Linked DNA regions of Caenorhabditis elegans. The protein of the gene in region 1 interacts with the protein of each later gene in a pairwise test. Each region holds a gene or a part of one and is shown on either strand. Other genes may lie near its edges.

Region 1 (4,841 bases):
TTTCGAATTTTGGATTAAAAAAAATGAAGAAAATTGGCCACATTTTCTCAGAAAAACACTGGAAAATTCGGGAGATTTCCGCAAAATTACGATTGTCTAAGTAAGAAAAACACCAAAAGATCAGAAAAATTCCAGATTATTCTAGGAAAATCAAAAATTTCTGGATTTTTCCCCGAAAAAAGTCAAAAATGGTTCTGATTTTGGCAGGAAAACTCCCAGAATTTCTTTTTCGAATTTCTCGATTCGATTCATAAAAATCGAAAAAATAATCCAATTTTTGTCGGAAAACCGAACCTCATAACTAAAATAGTGCTCGAATATATGAAAAAAACCTAAAAATCCCGTAATTTCTCAGAAAAAATCGGAAAATTGTCCGATTTTTCCAGAAAAACACGAAAAAAATCGGAAAAATTCTCGACTCTCCTAGACATTTTTTTGTCAAAAAGCTGGTGTAAAAAATAATGTTTTAACAAAAATATCGATAATTTCTCAAAATTTTGAAAAATCGATATTTTTTTCCAAAAATCTGACCGAAAAACGGAAAAATCCGTGGATTTTGTCTGTAAATCACTGGGAAAAGGAAAAATTCCAGATTTTTTGTTGAAAATCACCGAAAAATTTCGGAAAAAAACGGGGGTTTTTTTTTTATTTTTAGACAAAATTTATGTTTTTTCTTCTGTTTTTGGTAAAAATTCGATAAAATTGAACGATTTTTAGATTTTCTCAGAAAAACGCCGGAAATTTTGGGAAAACTCCCAATTTTCTCAAAAAGTCTAACCTTATAACTATAATAGTGCTCGAATATATGAAAAATCCCGGATTTTCTCAGAAAAAATCTGAAAATTGTCCGATTATTTCAAAAAAAAGACACTGAAAAAATCAGGAAAATTCCGGATTCTCCCAGAATTTTTTTTTTGAATTTCCGATTTAAAAAAAATTCAAAATTATCCAAATTTTCTCGGAAAATTTGGGAAAACCCCGAACCTTATAACTATAATAATCAGCTCCAATACATGTTGCAAGATGTTCAATAAGATCTTTCAAAGATCCAAAATTCAGTGAACATCCAATCATAAAACACGTGTAATTAGTTCCAACAATTGTCTTCAACGTGGCAATTTGATCCTTTTTTCGAACATTTAACCATTTACTCGGCTCATTTCGATATTTATTCTGAGCATCTGTTAGACGATCTTGCTCATTTTTTGTTGAGCATTTTTTAATGTGAATTAAGAATCCAGACGATGAAACATATAAACGATCACAGCATAGACATTTCAGTGGTTCTCCTTTTCTTCCAATTATCACTTTTGTTAGGAAACGGAGCATCTCATCCACGTGGACTTCTGTCAGAAATTGCTCTTTTGTCTGAAAAATTGGAACTTTTTAGATGGGAAATTAAACAAAAAAAAGGCATTTTTTGGTTTTTTTTACTTAAAAAATTGTTTTTTATTTCCCCGAAAACTAGATTTTTTTGGTTTTTTTTGGCAGAAATGGATTTTTTTTAATCAAAAAATTCTTTTCGGTGTTTTTTGGACCAAAAATTAATTTTTTTTGGTATTTTTAGCCCAAAAATGGATTTTTTTTGTTGGTTTTTTTTTTTAACCAAAAATGGATTTTTTGGTTTTTTTAGCTCAAAAAAATGGATTTTTTTTTGGTATTTATGGATCAAAAATGGAATTTTTTGTTTTGGTTTTTTGGATAAATTTTTTATTTTTATTTTTTTGGACCAATAAATGGATTTTTTTTGGTTTTTTTGGACCATTTGGTTTCTTTTTGTTGTTTTTTTTGGACCAAAAAAAGGATTGTTTAAAGAATTTTTTTTTGACAAAAATTAATTTTTTAAAGTTTTTTGGACCAAAAAATTGACTTTTTTTTTGGTTGGTATTTTTTTCGGCAAAAATGCTTTTTTTCCAGGGAAAAAGAAAGAAAATTGAAATTTCCGATTAAAAACTCGAAAAAAATATTTTGATGATATTTTTAGCAGATATTTTGATATATCGACTCAAAAATGCAGTTTTTTTCGCTTTTTTTTAATGCAAAAATTCAGTTTTCCGTATATTTTTTGTGAAAAAAAAAATAATAATTAGATTTTATTTTTCAATCTCTTAAGTGTTAAAACAGCTTGTAATTGAGGAGAAAACTTTTTTAGCCATTTTTTTTGACAAAGAATTAATTTTTTTTTGGTTTTTTTGGACCAAAAATGAATTTTTTTTCTAGTTTCTTTAAGGCGAAAAAATGTTTTTTTGTTTTTTTTTTTTTTGAATCAGAAAATGGATTTTTTTTGGTTTTTTTGGCCCAAAAACTAGATTTTTTTTGGTTTTTTTTTTTGGCAAAAATGGATTTTTTTGGACCAAAATGGATTTTTTTCGGTTTTTTTTAGCAAAAATTGATATTTTTTGATTTAAATTTGAGGCAAAAAATGTTTTTTTTTTAATTTTCCAATTTTTAATCGGAGAATTTTTCATGCAAAAGTCAGTTTTTTATATAAGCCTGAAAAACTTAAAATTGCAGTTTTTTCTTGAGAAATTGGGTTTTTAAAGTAATGTTTTTGAGCATTGTTTGCGAAAAAATTGCAGAATTTTCAGAAGAAGATTCAATTTTTCATGTGCTCCAAAGCGTGGAAAACTGGAAAAATTGCAAAAATTGGGACTTTTCAAGTTGAAATCCCAGAATTTCTGCAAAATTTGAGTATTTTTCGGTATTTTCCCAGCGGAAAATTTCAGAAAAATTGGATTTTTTTTGCATAATAGAGTGAATTTTTAGATAAAATTCAGTTTTCCGTGTGTTTTTCCGTCCAGAATATTGGAAATTTCTTGAAATTCGTTTGAATTCGCGGAATTTTTCAGCAAAATCGGCATTTTCCAAGTGAAAATAGCAGAATTTGAAGCAATATTCAGTTTTTTTTAAGACAAAAAACCGGAATTTTCAGTAGAATTTGTGCTCCGCGAGCACCATGTTCTTACACTGAATCCGTTCATTTTTTCAGCGCATTCTTTCGCTGTGAGACCCTCTTCGCTGAAGGAGAACACGAATTTCTCGTCCGAATCGTAGGCGATCAGAAGATCCGGCTTTTTTTCTTCAATTGGTGGATCTGTAGGAGCTGCTGGAGTTGTTGGACGGGTGCTTCTTCGTTTTGGTGGAGCCATTTTTGGAAAATGCCTGAAAATTTGAAGTTTTTCCGGAAAATTTGGGAAATTTACGATTAATTTCACGGAAAATTGGATTTTTTCAAAGTTTTCCGGAAAAATTGGAATTTTTTGAAGTTTTTCCGGGAAAATTGGAATTTTTTGAAGTTTTTCCGGGAAAATTGGAATTTTTTGAAGTTTTTCCGGGAAAAATTGGAGTTTTTAAAAGTTTTTCCGGGAAAATTGGATCTTTTTGAAGTTTTTCCGGAAAAATTGAATTTTTAAAGTTTTTCTGGGAAAATTGCTGAAAATTTGAAGTTTTTCGAGAGAAAATTGGAAATTTGCGATTAATTTCAAGAAAAATTGGAGTTTTTCAAAAGAAAATCGGAATTTGTTACAATTTTTGCGAAAAAATGCAATAATTTTCGATTTTTTTTTGCGGAAAATTAATAGTTGTACGAGAAAATTGGATTTTTTAAAACTATTTTTCAACAAAAAATCGGAATTTTTCGCATTTTCTTATTGAAAAATTCAAATTTATCATTTTTTCAAGGGAAATCTGAGATTTTTTCCATTTTTCGGAAAAAAAACACGGTTTTTTTCGCTTTTTTTCATTCAAAAATGATATTTTTGATTTTTCTACAAGAAAATCGGGATTTGTTACTTTTTTCCATAAAAAATCAGATTTCTTTTAAAAATTACCAATTTCCAGAAAATAAACTCGAATTTTTAGATTTTTTCGCCGAAAAATCCAATTTTTGCAGTTTTTAATTCAAATTTTCTGCAGAAATCGTAAAAACGGGGAAAAAAACAGGAAAAAAATATGAAATAAAATAAAGTTAGTTGGAAATCAAAGAAAACCGAGTCCAAAAAAAAAAGCGGAAAATTCAAATTTTTCAAAAAAAAAAAAATCAATAAATGGGGGTTTATTTATTAACAAAATAATAATGGCAAGAGAGATAAAATTCGCAAAAAAAAAATTAGAAAAAAATATGGGGAGAATTGCGTCGAATTTTCAGTCAAAATTGAGCAAATTGGGTATAATTTCAGTCAAAAAATAGAAAAAAAAAGATAAATATATAAATAACGGGAAAATATTATGCTTTTCAAAAAAATCGATCGTTGGTTCTTTTTGTGGAGGGGGAAGGCCGGAATGGAAATAAAATGAGATAGATGTGTGTGTGTGTGTGTGGGTGGGGAGAGAGAGAGAGAGAAGAGAAATAGAGAGTTAGACAGTTTTTTTCGCGGAAAAACATTTTTTTGCTCTTTAAATGACAGATTTTTCGGATTTTTTTTGTTGAAAAAAGTTGGAAAAATTGGAAATTTTGTGAAAAATTTTGGGAAATTCTGGAAATTTAATACATTTCACGTTTTTTTTTGCAAAAAAATTGGAAAATTTTCTGATTTTTCAGATAGAAACGTTGGAAATACTTTGATTATTCCAGTATTTTTGCAAAAAAAAAAATGAAATTTTCAGATATTGCCGGTATTTTTTGGAAAAATCTGGAAATTTTCTGATTTTTTCCGTTTTTTTCCCGAAAAAATTGGAAATTTTGTAATTTTTTTTCGGTTTTAACAGCGAAAATCTGCAAATTTTCTGTTTTATTTCAGAATTTTCAACGAAAATCTGAAATAATCGCTTTTTCTCGTATTTTTTGAAAAAAGTCGGTTTTTTAAAGCGAAAATCTGGATAATGTCTGATTTTTTGAAAAA
Region 2 (5,194 bases), about 11 Mb from region 1:
CAAGCAAATATAATGAAAAAAAAAATTAAAAATTGGGGATTTTAATCTACAAATTTCAAATTTAAAGTCTAAAATTTGGAAAAAAAATTAGACTTTAAACTTGAAATTTGTAGAATAAATTCCTCAAATTTTTAATTTTTTTGCTTGAAAATATATTAGTTTATTAGTTTACTTAACAATTTTAAAACCCAAAATTTTAATTTTCGCCGATTTTTTAAGGTTTTCCCATTTTATTTTCCAACTTTTTATCTAAAAATTGCAGAAATCCTGATTTTTTTTTCCGATTTCAGTGAATTTGCACCTTGTTTGTAATATTAATCAGCATATCAATCTCCTTAAGAGCCAGCTCATCATCGTGTTGGGGATTGTAGACAAATTTCACGCGAGCCATTTCTTTCGTTTTCGTAGTTTCTGCGTCTGTGCTCGCCGAGGCTGCAGAGCTCGCAAATGTGCTGCTGAATTTGGTTTCCAAGGCTTTGAGCACTGGAGCCGGGTCCGAGATTATCTGAAATTTTGATTTATTTGATTTAAGTGAAATTCTTCAGTTTCTGTATTTAAAAAATGTTTGAATAAAGTGCTGAGAAGCCATTTATGGAATTTTTTAATTGGAAAAAAACTATTTTCTTTTCAGTTTTTTAAAATTTAATTTTTCAGTTTTTTTTTGTTTTTGTCGAAGATAACTTTAATAAAAAATTGTAATGTAACAAATTTTAATTAAAAAATTTTTTCACTTCTAACCAGAAACTTACAATTAAAAGCTGAAAAAAAAGAGTTTTGGAACAAATTAAAAAAAAAATGTTTGGATATTTATATTTTTTGAATGAAAAATTAGCTGAAAATCAAAAAATAAATCGGCAAATAGGCAAATTGCCGGAACTTTTAAATTTCCGGCAAATCGGTAAAATGGCGGAATCGTAATTTCCGGCAAGTCGGCAAACCGGCAATTGCCAATTTTCCGGATTTCATCGACAAAAAATTGTTGATTTTCAATTATTTAAATTATTTGAATTTTTCCAAAAATTTGAATTTTTGCCATAAAAACTGATGTCTCAGGCACCGATATTTAAGTAAAATCTGTATTTTTGGGATTTTTCAGATTTTTTTCGCTACACGAACCGTCGACGGAGTTCTATCAATAGCTTTCGGCTCGCTTCTCATCACAACTTCACTTCCAATCGATTTTGCCGGAGTTCGAGCTGCTGAGCCCGCCGAAGTTGATGCACTAGCCGCTGGAGCAACTGCAGCAGCAGATGTGCTCGGCGTAGGCTTCAACGTCACAAAATTCGTCGGGAACATTCCGACGGCTCCAGTCGACTTGAGTTTTCCCTTACTCCAGCCATCTTCAACATCAGAGATCAGTTCGATGAGATCTCCGACGACAAAGCTTAGCTCATCGTCTTGTTTTGAGCTGTAGGCATACGTGGCCACGTATATTTGAGCTTGTGGTTGTGGAGGGGGAGCTGCAAAAAATATTTAAATTATTTTTTTGTAAATTTACACAAATTTTAATTTTTTTTTTCGAATTTTTTAGATATTTTTTTTCAGGATTTTCATGATTTTTTTTTAATTGTTAGAGCTATTTTAATATTGTCCCTCGACGAGTTTTTGAGCACCAGATCGTGAAAAAATCACGAAAATCGTGGCGGGACCCATTCGATCCAAGCCCCGCGCCTTTAAAAATGTTTGGATCTTTTTTTCAGTGTTATAATAATAATAATTGAAAACTGGAAGAAAAAAACATCTTTTTTAATTTGAAAAAAAATTAATAAAACTACAAGATTTTAGTGGAATTTAATTGGAAAAACTTTCAGATCGGCCGTTTTTTCCCCGAATTTTCTAGAGCTTTTTGAGAAATTTTCCTATTTTCTCGGACCAAAGCTCTAGAAAATTCGGAGCAAAAAAACGGCCAATCTGAACATTTTTCTAGTTAAATTCTACAAAAATCTTGTAATTTTATCTTTTTTTTCAAATTCGTCAAAAATAGTTTTTCTTCCAGTTTTCAAATATTATACATACTGAAAAAATATCCAAACATTTTTTAAAGGCGCCGGTTTTGGATTAAATGGGTCTCGCCACGATTTCCATGATTTTTTAAAGATTTGGTGCTCGAAATAACGTGATTAAATTTTAAAAATTAGAAACATTTAAAAAGAAAAATTTTCACAAATGAGAAAATCTCCGGTTTTTTTTTCATTTTTTCGACTGAAATTCTCAAATTTTTCGGTTTTTTTTTCAAAATTTCCAACTTTTTTCTAAAACAAACCTCTCCGTTCCACCTGTTGATGTACTGTAAATGGATTTCGATTTGTCATATCTCGGGAAAGTCGATTCACAATATCTCGCACATTTCCAGCGACTACTTCTGTCTGAAAATTGGCAATTTTTAGATAAAGATTTTAATCTGAAGTCTTTTATTTTTTCAAAAAATCACAATTTTCCGATTTTCTTTTGTTTTACATATGTTTTCTTTAAAAATTGCAGTTTTTACACATTTACTTGGAAAAAATAAAAAATTTTCACTTTTCCTAAAAAATCCCAAAATTTCCCATATTTTTATCCCAAAAATTGTAACTTTTTTTTCAAAAAATCATAATTTTTACAATCTGTTTTTTTAAAAAAAAATCAAAATTCTCACACTTTTTTTCCGAAAACTCTTATTTTTACCAATTGTTTTTGACAAAAAAATCGCATTTTTCTAAATCTTTTCAATCAAAAAATAACATTTTTACGTTTTTTGCCCAAAAATCTTAATTTTTACAATTTTTTTTTCCAAAAACGGAAATGTTTCAAATGTTTTTTATTTGCAAAAAAACAAAATTTTCACACTTTTTTAAAAATCTCAATACTAAAAAATCGAATTATTTTTTCTAAAAAGTCGGAATTTTTTAATTTTTTTAATCAAATAATGGCAATTTTCTCATTTTTTTTATCCAAAAAATTTGCAATTTTCATGACTTTTTCGACAATTTTCTCAATTTTCCAAAAAAAAAAAAAAAGAGATTACGAAATATACTAACTTCACCAACTTGTGCCATTTGTCCTCGATCCGCGAGTGTCCAACAAAAAAAACAGTTCAAGGCGGCTCTCGGATACAATTCTGGAAAAAATCACAATTTTTTTTAATTTTAAAATTAAATAAAGACTTTTGTGATTTTTTCAAGATTTCCAAGGTAACGTCAAAAAACCAAACAACGGCCAAAAAAAAAGGCGAAAATCGATAAGGAATTGTTTGTGCAGTGATGGTGGAAAATGTGGGGCAATAAAGTCAAAAACTTCTGTTATCAGTGGGGAGATGTGGAGAAAAATTTTGAAAAAAAACGTGGAGTGAATTTCAATTTTCACTTCTTCAATTGTGTGAGTTTCCCCCGAATGAGTCATCGCAGTGGTGTCTCCTATCGAGCGCCGCCGCGGGAAAGATCAATCACTTTTCGAACGTGTCCCCCTCCCCCACCCCCCTCTTCAATGCGTTGATGACCTGTGAACAGAAAAAAACGCGGCCAAAACAATAAAATCTCGTAAATTTATATTTTGATCGAGATGACATATTTAGGAATATATAATACGAAAATGCAAAATTCTGAGAATGCGAAAAAATTGTGAAAGTTTCGAAATTTTTTTTGAAAAAAAAAGGTGTAAAATTTCAATTTTTGAAAAGAAAAAAAAATTAAAATCTCGGTTTTTTAAACGAAAATTGAAAAAAAATCGAATTTTTTGAACTAAAAGTGTAATTTTAATTTTTAGATTGAAAACAATGTGAGAATTCCAAATTTTTGACACGCTTTCTCATTCATTATGACGGATATTACACGGTAACACGAAGTTGTGAGAATGCGTATTGCACAACATATTTGACGCTCAAAATATCTCGTAGCGAAAACTACAGTAATTCTTTAAATTACTACTGCAGCGCATGTGTCGATTTACGGGCTCGATTTTTGAAATGAATTCAAATAATTTAATTTAAGATTTAAAAATTAAGCAAAAAGTGAGAAAATAGGTAATACAAAGAAACTACTTTTTTCATGTCAAGAATCGAGATCCCGTAAATCGACACCAGTGCTACAGTAGTCATTTAAAGAATTACTGTAGTTTCCGCTACGAGATATTTTGAGCGTCAAATATGTTACGGAATACGCATTTTTACGAGTTTTGTGTTACAGTAATAACGGTCACAATAAATGATTTCCATTTTTGGAAAGGATAAGAAAATCTCGTTTTATTGGTGGAAAAATTGAATAAAAATCGATTTTCGAGACTTTTTTGTCTAAAAATCAAAATAACACTTTTTTAATCGAATTTTTCAATTTTTTCCTTCAAAAAATCAATTTTTCGCGCTTGTTTTTGATAAAAAGGACTCAAAATTTATTTTTTCGAAATATTTTTGAAATAAAACCAAAAAAAAATTTTTGGACCAAAAAATCGAACTGATTTTCGATTATTTTTTTTGAAAACCGTAAAGCTTTTGAAATTTTTGGGAAAATGCAGAAAACTGACAAAATCTCAATTTTTTAAAGTTTTTTTTTCGATTTTAACATCGCGCGAATTTTTTTGTCGACAAATTCGACAAATCGGCAAATTGCCTATTTACTGGATATTTGAATTCCGGCAATTTTCCGGTTTGCTGATTTGCCGGAAATGTTTAGAGGGATTTTTTATAAGACGGAAACACTTAAAACTGTGCCTTTTTGAAATTTTTTCCCGTTTTCTTTGAATATTTTCATAGAATTTGCTTGCTTTTCAAAACTGATGTAGGAACCAGGGGTGTGCGGCAAATTTGCCGAATTTGCCGAGCTCGGCCAATTTTGAGATTTGCCGCACACCTCTGGCAGGAACATTCATAGGATGCGTACAATTTTGCCGATCAAAATTGAAATTCTGAATTTTCCAACAAAAAAAACTAAAATTTGCCAAAATTTTTCGGAAATTGCCGATTTTCCGGAAATTTTCAATTCCTGCAATTTGCCGGAAAAAAATCATTTGCCGCCCAACCCCGGGTTAAATGCATTCCAGAAGTGTTCTAAATGAATTGTGAAACAATCTAACTGGGTGTGTCTGTGTGGGATAACTTTGTGTAACCTAATTACTCTCCTAAAATAAAAAAAAAACCCCGTCAGGAAATTTTTGTAACAGACAGTTAGTAGAGAGAACCAACACAAAAAAAACAGGAGAACCGCAGCCGCATTGGTGGCGGGTA

Evidence for each region.
Region 2: the proteins of Y105E8A.21 (region 1) and cdap-2 interact in a two-hybrid assay, tested with the Caenorhabditis elegans proteins (one large-scale study listed by BioGRID).

Annotation. Positions count from the first base shown.
Region 1 is NC_003279.8:14,507,391-14,512,231, forward strand, and holds the start of Y105E8A.21 (C2H2-type domain-containing protein), read right to left. Parts: upstream 3,163-4,841; 5' UTR 3,150-3,162; coding exon 2,967-3,149; intron 1,369-2,966; coding exon 985-1,368; intron 1-984.
Region 2 is NC_003279.8:3,327,577-3,332,770, forward strand, and holds the start of cdap-2 (SH3 domain-containing protein), read right to left. Parts: upstream 3,098-5,194; 5' UTR 3,036-3,097; coding exon 3,018-3,035; intron 2,367-3,017; coding exon 2,264-2,366; intron 1,461-2,263; coding exon 1,117-1,460; intron 506-1,116; coding exon 302-505; intron 1-301.